Oryzias latipes: one gene and its partners. The protein of the gene in region 2 purifies or fractionates together with the protein of the main gene of each other region. This does not show direct contact. Links are inferred from orthologs where the notes say so. Each region holds a gene or a part of one and is shown on either strand. Other genes may lie near its edges.

Evidence for each region.
Region 1: the proteins of mitogen-activated protein kinase kinase kinase kinase 5 (region 2) and hsp90ab1 purify together in Homo sapiens (affinity purification with mass spectrometry; 3 studies listed by BioGRID and IntAct, with this or other methods). This does not show direct contact. The link is inferred for Oryzias latipes from reciprocal best matches to the Homo sapiens genes MAP4K1 and HSP90AB1.
Region 3: the proteins of mitogen-activated protein kinase kinase kinase kinase 5 (region 2) and nudc purify together in Homo sapiens (affinity purification with mass spectrometry; 3 studies listed by BioGRID and IntAct, with this or other methods). This does not show direct contact. The link is inferred for Oryzias latipes from reciprocal best matches to the Homo sapiens genes MAP4K1 and NUDC.

The regions. Positions count from the first base shown.
Region 1 is NC_019882.2:5,881,922-5,886,230, forward strand, and holds the start of hsp90ab1 (heat shock protein HSP 90-beta), read left to right. Parts: upstream 1-1,423; coding exon 1,424-1,573; intron 1,574-1,654; coding exon 1,655-1,861; intron 1,862-1,964; coding exon 1,965-2,124; intron 2,125-2,212; coding exon 2,213-2,346; intron 2,347-2,427; coding exon 2,428-2,730; intron 2,731-2,800; coding exon 2,801-2,966; intron 2,967-3,046; coding exon 3,047-3,237; intron 3,238-3,426; coding exon 3,427-3,574; intron 3,575-3,653; coding exon 3,654-3,922; intron 3,923-4,009; exon of another isoform or gene 4,010-4,036; intron 4,037-4,286; coding exon 4,287-4,309. UniProt on the Homo sapiens protein: Molecular chaperone that promotes the maturation, structural maintenance and proper regulation of specific target proteins involved for instance in cell cycle control and signal transduction. Undergoes a functional cycle linked to its ATPase activity.
Region 2 is NC_019871.2:4,865,133-4,868,056, forward strand, and holds the end of mitogen-activated protein kinase kinase kinase kinase 5, read left to right. Parts: intron 1-100; coding exon 101-193; intron 194-416; coding exon 417-543; intron 544-1,755; coding exon 1,756-1,852; 3' UTR 1,853-2,306; downstream 2,307-2,924. UniProt on the Homo sapiens protein: Serine/threonine-protein kinase, which plays a role in the response to environmental stress. Appears to act upstream of the JUN N-terminal pathway.
Region 3 is NC_019869.2:25,831,750-25,835,930, forward strand, and holds the start of nudc (nuclear migration protein nudC), read left to right. Parts: upstream 1-1,339; 5' UTR 1,340-1,461; coding exon 1,462-1,536; intron 1,537-2,473; coding exon 2,474-2,551; intron 2,552-2,627; coding exon 2,628-2,840; intron 2,841-2,922; coding exon 2,923-2,997; intron 2,998-3,072; coding exon 3,073-3,186; intron 3,187-4,181. UniProt on the Homo sapiens protein: Plays a role in neurogenesis and neuronal migration. Necessary for correct formation of mitotic spindles and chromosome separation during mitosis. Necessary for cytokinesis and cell proliferation.

The DNA of each region.
Region 1 (4,309 bases), on a different chromosome or scaffold from region 2:
ACAAAGACCTAGAGTGTTCGTTGATTCCGTAAAAAATACAGCGTGCTTTTAATTTTTGACATCCAGATATAGAGATTCTATACAAATACTTTTTTTTTTCAACAAAATTTTGACACATTTTTAGAATTTAGACAATTACTAAACGGAAGCTCGTAGATGTAGTTTTTGCTGTATCTTAAATAACCGCTAGATGGCAGCAAAAATCAAATACGATTGATTTTATTCTTAGTTTTGTTTTTAATATAATAAATTTATAACGTTTAGATTTTACCTCCTTGGCCAATCAAAATATTGTGCATGCTATTCCACTATAACTTTTTATCTGTTGATATAAATAATTACATATTTTTCTGGAGGAGCACAGTTAGTTCGAGAAGGAGCGCCGCGGAGGGATCTTGTCCTGCACTGAAACTCATGAGCATATAGATTCGGCGTGCAGCTCCAGAATCCTCCTTTCTTTTTCCTGCGTCAGTGAGCGGCAGGGATAGCACTTTTGTTGCATTTTATTCAAGAAAAGCCAACATAAGAAACAAGGTATGTCTTGGTAATTCACTTCATATTGAGGGAAACCAAACTTTAAATGGTTTATTATTATTCTACACCGAATGTTGAGTCATTTAACGGGTTTTTTTGTTATTTGATTTCGATTCACGTGGTTTGTTTAACCTTGATTCATCGATTAAAAGCATTTCTGACATAGCGGGTTTACTATTCTTAATTAGTAATGGGCTTTAGGTTAAATCTTGTACTAGTGACCGAAAATAAGTGGTGGGCTTTTGCCGCATCTTGTAGGCAGACAGAAGGTATGGAGATTTATTATTGTGAAGGTTGGTTGTACCTGACTGTTTAAAGAATAACATTACCATAGTTTAACGAGCGATTGACGTGTCTTTGTGTATATTTTGCCAACGAAGGATTCTAGATGGACTACTAGTTTAGAATCTTACACCCAGAGTGTGTACATCATGTACATCTTGCATAACCGACACAGGAGTGCTCGTGGTTTTTCGGGGTGATGGTAGTTTTGGGGGCTATTTTTTTGCAGTAAAGCTCCTGAGCGATAATCCAAAATCGTTCGATCTTGATATTCACGGAAGCTTCGGGTTTTTTCGGTTTTAGTCGGCACGTGCTTGCAGCGTCCATTGTCCATGCCTCGCCGCCATGTTTCGCTGCACTTCCGCCCGTATGTTGTAATCTGATGGCAGGGATCCGACTCTGAACCGGTTTCTGAATTGTGGTAGTTTATGGTTTAAAATTATTCATTAAAAAAAATTAAACTAAAAACTACAATCTTAGTAAAATAATTGGCAGTTTATTACCGTATTTTGCGTATTTGTAAGATGTTGTGCTTTTATTTTGGCGTTTCCTGTTGGTTCATCCCATTATTAGTCTGACGCTGTTTGTTGCAAACCTGTTATTTCTTATGCAGATGCCTGAAGAAATGCACCAAGAGGAGGAGGCTGAGACCTTTGCCTTCCAGGCAGAGATTGCTCAGCTGATGTCCCTGATCATCAACACCTTTTATTCCAACAAAGAGATCTTCCTCAGGGAGCTGATCTCCAATGCCTCTGATGTAAGTCTGCAGCAGTTTACGTAACATCGTATCACCTCTGTGTCAATACAGTGAAATATCTTGACGCTGAATTATTTTTAGGCTCTGGACAAAATCCGCTATGAAAGCTTAACTGATCCCTCCAAGCTGGACAGCGGCAAGGATCTGAAAATCGACATCATCCCCAACAAGGCTGACCGCACCTTGACCATTGTTGACACTGGAATTGGCATGACCAAGGCTGACCTTATCAACAACCTGGGTACCATTGCAAAGTCTGGGACAAAGGCTTTCATGGAAGCCCTTCAGGTATTAATATAAACAGGCATAAAGGGGAAAAATACATATACACATTTATATATTTTTTTAGCAGAAGTGAATACAAATTGTGGAACTTTGCCGTTTTCTTCAGGCTGGAGCCGACATCTCCATGATTGGTCAGTTCGGTGTGGGATTTTACTCTGCCTACCTCGTCGCTGAGAGGGTGGTGGTTATCACCAAGCACAACGACGATGAACAGTACGCCTGGGAGTCCTCTGCTGGGGGATCCTTTACCGTCAAGGTCGACAGTGGTATGGATCTTCAAATATTATAATTATGGTGCAACAAACTAAAATCTGACTGTGAAACATTTGTTAACCTCTACAACACTGTTCTCAGGCGAGCCCATTGGCCGTGGAACAAAGATCATCCTGCACCTTAAAGAAGACCAAACGGAGTACATTGAGGAGAAGAGGGTCAAAGAGATCGTGAAGAAGCATTCTCAGTTCATCGGCTACCCCATCACCCTCTTTGTAAGTGATTTGTTTGTTTTTTTACAAACATATTTCTCACTAATAGAAGCTTATGTGGAGTTGTACGTGGTTTATCTATAGGTGGAGAAAGAACGTGACAAGGAGATCAGTGATGATGAGGCAGAGGAGGAAAAAGAAGAGAAGGAGACCAAGGAGGAAGGTGAGGACAAGCCAAAGATTGAGGATGTGGGCTCAGATGATGAAGAAGACGCTAAAGACAAGGGCAAGAAGAAGAAGAAGATCAAGGAGAAGTACATTGACCAGGAAGAGCTGAATAAGACCAAGCCCATCTGGACCAGAAACCCTGATGACATCACGAGTGAGGAGTACGGCGAGTTCTACAAGAGCCTCACAAACGACTGGGAGGATCACCTCGCTGTGAAGGTAAAATAGAGGTTTGGGTGTCTTCTGATCGGCTGATGGAACCTCGTGCTGACGTGTGTTTCTCTTTTAGCACTTTTCAGTGGAAGGTCAGCTGGAATTCAGGGCTCTGCTCTTTGTTCCTCGTCGTGCACCTTTTGACCTCTTTGAGAACAAGAAGAAGAAGAACAACATCAAGCTGTACGTCAGGAGAGTCTTCATCATGGACAACTGTGAAGAGCTCATCCCAGAGTACCTGAGTAAGTTTTAAATCTCTGTTCCACCGGATCTGAAAGGAAATGCACAGCAGCTTTAAAACGTTTTTGTTTGTTTACAACAGACTTCATCCGTGGAGTGGTGGACTCTGAAGACCTGCCCCTCAACATTTCAAGAGAAATGCTGCAGCAGAGCAAGATCTTGAAAGTAATCCGCAAAAACATTGTCAAGAAGTGCCTGGAGCTGTTCGGAGAGCTGGCAGAAGACAAAGAAAACTACAAGAAATTCTATGAAGGTTTCTCAAAGAACATCAAGGTATCTCAAACATATCTGAAGCTTTTCTAAATGATGCCTATAAACTGATGGATTTTTTTTTTCCTGTAAACTTTTAAGGTGTGAAAATAAATCGACACATATTTAGCGTGAAGCCTTGGAATTGGGCAACGCTTGCTGCATTACCCAGAATTTAGTTGAGTAAATCGATCACAACTTTTATGTTCACAGCTCGGCATCCATGAGGATTCTCAGAACCGTAAGAAGCTGTCTGAGCTGCTGCGCTACCACAGCTCCCAGTCTGGAGATGAAATGACTTCCCTCACAGAGTACCTTTCTCGCATGAAGGAGAACCAGAAATCCATTTACTACATCACTGGTAGGTTTGGCTTCCAGTCCATATGTTCTTTTGTTGATTCTTTTGGCACGACTTAAGTTTTTGTTTTTTGCCTCTGAAGGTGAAAGCAAGGACCAGGTTGCCAACTCTGCTTTCGTGGAGCGCGTCCGCAAGCGTGGCTTCGAGGTCCTGTACATGACCGAGCCCATCGACGAGTACTGTGTTCAGCAGCTGAAGGAGTTTGATGGCAAGAACCTGGTTTCTGTCACCAAAGAGGGCTTGGAGCTGCCAGAGGATGAGGAGGAAAAGAAGAAGATGGAGGATGACAAGGCCAAGTTTGAGAACCTCTGCAAGCTCATGAAAGAGATTCTGGACAAGAAAGTAGAGAAGGTTGGTCTCAAATAAGAAACTGTGCTTTTGCTCCTCATTTCTTCACCATCATTTCCTTAACTTCAGTGGTGTTTTGTTTGGAAACAGGTTTCCTAGTGGTAACTACTTATATTGGTGAGTTCATACAGAGTAGAAGTGGCCTGTAGAGTTTCTAGCGTTGCCTGATATTTGAGTTGAAAGGGTTTGGTTTTGCAAGAGCCTGATAAGTCTGACAGCGACGTGAGTTCTAACAATGTTTGTCTTTTGAGGCTGTGTCTAACACTCGATGAAATCAGCATCACACAAACGGCCTGAACCGCATGCGTGTATTGCATTCCAGTGGTCGGTTTTCTCAAACCGATGCTTACCTTCATGCCTTCTACAGGTGACTGTCTCCAACAGACTGGT
Region 2 (2,924 bases):
TCCCCTGTGAGATGCAACAGTGAGGATACCGTAGATCATTTAAAGCTTCACTCACAGCTTTTTGAGAAACTTGATGTTTGACCACGTCTCTCTTCCACAGAGTCGGTCCTTTGTGTTGGTCTGAACGGAGAGGTGAAGAACCTCCATCATCTTCCTCAGCAGACCACTTTCTTCCATGAGATTGAATCTATAGGTAAGAACAAGCAGCTTCAAACTGCAGGTGATTTCTTGCTGTAATTCTTTCCACAAGTGCTTTTTTTTTTTTTGGTTTAGTTACCTGGAAATTTTTAACAATCTGACGTTTTGTTATTTATAAGAGTGGGACATTTAAGATGTATAATTTGGCTTTAAACGTTATTAAACAAGCGGTTGGAGATCCCGTTTCTCCAGTTTTCTCACGGTTTTTGTCTCATCAGTGTTTTTTGAAGACACCCTCCTGACAGTTTGGCGCCATGGTTGGCAGAGGAGAGGAAAAGGTTTCACGGAGGTGCTGGAGGAATTGACTGACCCCCGAAAAATCTACAGAATGGTGAAGTCCCACAGGTACAGCTTTGGACATCTGTTGCTTTCACGTTAGCATAATTCGAGCAGCATTTCTAGAAAGTTGGTACAGTCCGTCTAACGGTCCTGTAAGGCAATGGTCCCCAACCCCCGGGGCGGCAGACCGGTACCGGTTCGTGGGTCATTTGGTACCAGGCCGCACAGAAAGAATAAATAACTTACATTACTGCCGTTTTATTCATTTCAGAATCTGAAAGATGTTTTATTTTGAAAAATCGCCTGATTCTCTTTTACATCCGCTAAAAAAAAAAACCAGGCGCTAGCAAAATGAGTAAAAAACAAACGTCTTTGGAAAGTTTATTTGCCAAGGGGAAAAGACCCAGCCAGGAGACAAAGAGGAGCCTTCGACTTTCAAAAACAAAAGCTACATTTAATAGACAGTACTTCATTTTTGCACCATGAGTGTGGGAAGGGGAGAGGATGATGACACCTGTGCGATGTACGAAAACATGCCTATTTATTTAGAGGCTCAGAGCTCGTCTTATCACGTCTCTGTTCCTCCTTCATCGTAGCGTTGCTGCAATAATCCTCCGCCACATCTTAAAGATGCTTTGTAAAAAGGAGTCAAAGCTTTGTATGACGTCATACCGGTCCGCGGCGTTAAAACGGTTGGGGACCACTGCTGTACGGTGATTCAAATAATTCATTATTTCTATTTCTTGCTTCTAAAGACCATAAGCTTGTATTTTTATAGACAAGAAAGTATATTTATGTGCTGACAAACTCATTCATCTTCTAAATACCTCAAAGATTTAAGTAAGTAAAACATGAAATTCATTTGGATCTTATTGATTTGAGAATTTTTTTTGTAATAAAATGTACTAAAAATCAAAATATCACCAAGATGCCAGCCATATGATACAATATAAAAGAAACCCTCATAACACTCCTATTATTTAATCAACAATAAAATAAAGATAATAAAAGTCTGTTGTAAGTATGGTTGCTAAGTCAAATATGATTATTTACTTTGATGTAGAGACACAGAAATGTCTAATCATGTTTATCAGTGGAAGACTAAACAATAATTCCGTGGTTGCTATGACCCATAATCCTTTGGGAGGATGTAACATCATTGTATCCTTTCATGACTAGACTTTAGTGCTGACATTAGTGGCGTAAAGAGAGGTTTGATTTTTGGTGTCTAAACGTCTGGACCATCTCTGCATAAAAATGGGACTTCTCTCACTGCAGGACCGTCGTCATGGAAACCCATCCAGTAGAGGACCAATCAGGTCTGTCCAACCTGTACGTCCTGGAAATCGCTGAGAAGTATGTGCTGCTGCCATGACCCAGTGCATCATGGGAAACTCCCCACGTTGGAGACTGGCACTGTCAGCCGTTGAAGGGAGACAAAAACAGGAGGCCTTGACATTCTTTCAACGCAGATGCGACCATACCTCTGGATTCTACCTGCTAACCTGTGGAGAAACCCGATGAGATCGTAGTGTCCCCCTCATCCCTATGTTGCTGTTATTTATGCTGTTTTTGTTTTTCACTTGAGATCCAAAAAATGTGAGGAGTATTCCTGAGTCACGAAAAAAAAAAGTGTTGTGCTGACCCTGAAGAGTCACCGTCCTCCTGCCAAAGTATTATTGATCACAGCCTGCAGGGACTCATGCGGCCTCCTTGATGACAGAAGAACTTAAAGGAGCAGAGCCTGCTGGGGGCTCGTGCTGTGCTTTGTGACCTGAGCCTGTGTTCCTGCCATTACACTCAAATAAAGATCACACATTTGAAGGATGCTTGATTTGTACACATCTTTAATTAAATTGTTTGTCCACTTGAAGTGGAAAATAGTGAGAGTGATACCAAAATATGTGTCTCTCATAGCAATGGTAGTCTCATTTGAACAGTGAAAAACAGACACATCAGGAGGAATTTTGGTCCACTATTCTTTACAAATGACTTCTAAATCATTCAGATTTAGTGGCTGTTGCTTGGCATCTCTGAGCGTCAGCTTTTCTATAGGTTTTTTCTATAGGGTTGAGGTCCGGAGACTGTTTTGACCGCTCCGTGACCTTAAGCCATTCCTTGGTTGTCTTGGCTGTTGGTTTTGGGTCATTATCCTGTTGGAAGACTCACCCATGACCCACTTTAAGCCTCCTGGTGGAGGGAAGGAGGTTCTCACTCATGATTTGACAGTACATGACTCCGCCCATCCTCCCATCCACACGGTGCAGAGAAACACAGCCGAAAACATAATCCTTCCACCTCCATGCTTGACAGTGGGGGTGGTGTTCTTGGTGTCGTAGGCAGCCTTTTTCTCTTCCTCCAAACACGACGGGCTGAGTTGATGCCATAAAGTTCCATGTTGGTCTCGTGTGACCACAGCACATTTGGCCAATCACTCACTCAGTCCT
Region 3 (4,181 bases), on a different chromosome or scaffold from region 2:
AGCTGAATGCAGCACAACAGTTTGTCTGCATTCTATGTTTTTCTTTGCTTTAAAATGTTTTCAATAACTTGTTGCTTTTAAATCTGTAAACTCTGATTAAGTGAAATAAATTAAGTGAAACTGGGAACTCTTTTACTTTTTGCTAAAAACTATAAGAATTATGTTTTTCATCCGATTTCAAAGAATTTTAGATAAATACTCAGTCTATTCCTAAATTTTAAAAAGCAACACAAAAGAAAATAGGGTTTTATTTGAATAAAACAGTTTGGCAAGACAATATGGTAGAAGTGTGGGCATGAAGAACTGCAGAAGAACAAAAGTTTGTACATATAGGTTTAAGGAAGAGGAGAAATTAATCTTTTTTTTTTTTAATTGTCTGTCAGTCTGCCTCAGAGCAGCAGTGGATACATCAGTAGTTACAACCAAGCATGAAGGAATAAAGGACCCATTATAAGCACTTTTACCGTCTGGAAAAGCACAGATAAGTCCAATCCATTATTATTATTACGTTTTTTATAAAATAAATGGAATTTCAGTGCAGCATGAAACCTGCCTGTCCTGTCCTGATGAAGAGCAGATGATGAGAGGACCTCCGCTCTGGGGTTTTCCATGTGAGCCTGGAGCTACAGCTGGAAGAACATAACCCTGTTTCACCTTTTGGAAAAATAAGTTTTCCAAAAACATAGTTTGTATTTAAACCGTGGTATGATGACGTCACGCCGCTGCCCATCACATCTGCTGCAGTGGTAAACAACAAACTCTACTGATGCATAAACCACAGGTTTTATCTGTAGAAGAAAATGTCTCCACAGCAGGTACTCGGACTAAAACACTCCAGACATTTTCAAAGAAATAAAAGAATAAGGATGTTGGCTCATAAATGATGTGCATGGAGTTCCTGTTTTTGTTAATAAAGACATTGCTTTTAACCAGTGAGTTTGTTTGGAAAGATCTGTTTAAAAAAGCTTTTACGGCAAATGATTTATTTTTATTTGACAAATAAACTATGCATTGTTTTAAGCATGGCTAACATGTGGCACATGTCAAGTTTAATGATCCTCCTCAAAACCATGGTTTTAACCCTTTTTCTAATACGTACACAAACTTAGAAAGGTATATTTTCCAAAACATGAAAACATTTTTTGAATATAAAATTATAGCGTCTAAAAATGTTTGAAGTAAAAATAGAATTTATCTATAGTTAAAACTGTCAGACTTTTAATCTAGAAGATTCCTTCCTGCGCAGGGAACTTCCGGTCCCGCCTGAGCGGAAGCTCGATCGGATTGGACATTTCACTTGTCATTTAAAAGGGATTGCTCCAATTGGTCAAATCGGCCATGGGCGGAGTTTTGTTTCCAGGAAGTGCCAAGCGTGATCAGAGCCTCTCACTGCCGCGCCGAGGGAAGTTTTCTCTTGTTTCTACCAAAAGTCTTTCTTCTTTTTCTGAATCCACCACCAACATGGGCGATGAGGAGGAGAAGTATGACGGCATGTTGCTGGTTATGGCGCAGCAGCACGAAGGAGGAGTGCAGGAGGTGCGTAGATCCGAGATGCTAACGCCGAAGCTAATCATGATGGGCTGAAATGCTGAGGAGCCGCAGCACCTGGTCAACATTGACACCGTTAGGAAGTCTGGAGGATTTTCAGTTTCAAATCCACATTGCTTTGAGCTCATTTAACTATTCTGCTATGAAAAAGTCGTTTCCTTACGGAGATCCCCACTAAACGTTCAGTTTCCTTCAATTTGATGTTTTTTGACCGGATACTATACCTGTGTATTCTCAGTAATGGACATAACATCTTTCAAAACTTTGCTCTTGAGAACCAGTAATTTAAATAAGCTTTACTTTAGAAATATCTTAACCTTATCATAATTGACCAGACATTTGTCTCTTTCTTAAAGTTCAGCTTTTTCAGCCTTCTTGGAGCATGTTTACGTCAGAAGTCCAGAGTTTTAGTCTGCAATCAGCCTCCAGTTAGCAGCTTTAGTTACTGACTGCAAAGCAATTCCATGTTCTCAAAAGGAAATTCATATATTTGTTCTTTTTCTGGACTAAATGACTGTTTTTCATCAACCTCAGTGGTGAATTGATTCATTTTTAAAATCTGAATTATAAAATAACCTAATAGGATTTCTGTCTGTTCCTCAATGTTAAATTCCTCATGTCAGATACTTGAAAAAATGACATCAAAATGACTATTTGACTGTATTGTGTGTAGCAGAAGTCTTTTTGCCCTTTGTGTGGTAAGTTAAGGTTTTGTTAGGAATAATCGTTGCTGGGGAAATAGAAAAAATATACTTTTTCTGAAACATTTGGAATGTTTAAATTTAAAGCCTGAGGCGACGGTTTAATCCCAAAGTGTCCAGGTGAGTTGGGTGTGGAGGACAGAGAGGCTTTGTGGTTGAGAGCTCTGCACCGTCCTCTGCAGAAAACCTTGGCCTGAGCTCACAGCCTGCTTTTGCTTCAACAGTTAGTGAACACGTTCTTCAGCTTCCTCCGACGTAAAACAGATTTCTTCATCGGAGGAGACTCTGGTGCAGCAGAGAAGGTGAGCGGAGCTTCTGCCTGTTGGAGATGGACGGACGTGTTGTCCTCCGTTCACCAGCCTCTCTGTCCTCTTTCAGCTGGTCAAAGAAGCCTTCGATCACCACAACAAGTTAGCCATGAAGGCCCAGAGGGAGAAGCAGATGAGACAGGAGAAGGAAAAGAAGGAGAAAGCTGAAAGAGCCGCCAAGCTGGCAGAGGAGGAGGAGGAGAGGAGGAAAAACCAAGATGGACCCAGAATTCAGGAACTGACAGACGAAGAAGCAGAGAAACTGCAGTCTGAGCTGGACAAAGTAAACTCTTTGATTCTTTATGAAGGTTGATTTAAAGAAAACAAGTTCCGCTGTGATGTTCACCTTTCTGTGTTTTTAAAAGCAAAAAGACGACGAAAAGGAGGAGGGACGAGCAAACGCAGAGAAAACGCCGGACAAGGCAGACAAAGAGAAGGGGGTGAGTGGCGCTCTGCTGGTGATGAAGAGGACAGCTTCATCTCAGGCTTCATCTCTGGCTTTTTCTGTGTTTCAGTCTGATTCTGAGGAAGAGGAGGACGAGAAGGACAAGGGAAAGCTGAAGCCAAACTCTGGGAATGGAGCAGATCTGCCCAACTACAAGTGGACGCAGACGCTGTCTGAAGTCGATGTGAGTTCTTCATGATTCACACACACAATACATAAAATGGTGAACGCATGGAAAGGAACACGAAGGCCCCCGTCACTAAAGGCTGAATCCGCCCCCGTCACTTAAGGCCGACTCCGCCCCCGTCACTTAAGGCCGACTCCGCCCCCGTCACTTAAGGCCGACTCCGCCCCCGTCACTTAAGGCCGACTCCGCCCCCGTCACTTAAGGCCGACTCCGCCCCCGTCACTTAAGGCCGACTCCGCCCACGTCACTTAAGGCCGACTCCGCCCACGTCACTTAAGGCCGACACCGCCCACGTCACTTAAGGCCGACTCCGCCCACGTCACTTAAGGCCGACTCCGCCCCCGTCACTTAAGGCCGACTCCGCCCCCGTCACTAAAGGCCGACTCCGCCCAGACAATAAATGCCGACTCCGCCCCCGTCACTAAAGGTCGACTCCGCCCCGGTCACTAAAGGCCGACTCCGCCCCCGTCACTTAAGGCCGACTCCGCCCCCGTCACTTAAGGCCGACTCCGCCCCCGTCACTGAAGGCCGACTCCGCCCCCGTCACTGAAGGCCGACTCCGCCCCCGTCACTGAAGGCCGACTCCGCCCCCGTCACTGAAGGCCGACTCCGCCCCCGTCACTGAAGGCCGACTCCGCCCCCGTCACTGAAGGCCGACTCCGCCCCCGTCACTGAAGGCCGACTCCGCCCCCGTCACTGAAGGCCGACTCCGCCCCGGTCACTGAAGGCCGACTCCGCCCCCGTCACTGAAGGCCGGCTCCTCCCCCGTCACTGAAGGCCGACTCCGCCCCCGTCACTGAAGGCCGGCTCCTCCCCCGTCACTGAAGGCCGACTCCGCCCCCGTCACTGAAGGCCGACTCCGCCCCCGTCACTGAAGGCCGACTCCGCCCCCGTCACTGAAGGCCGACTCCGCCCCCGTCACTGAAGGCCGACTCCGCCCCCGTCACTGAAGGCCGACTCCGCCCCCGTCACTGAAGGCCGGCTCCGCCCCC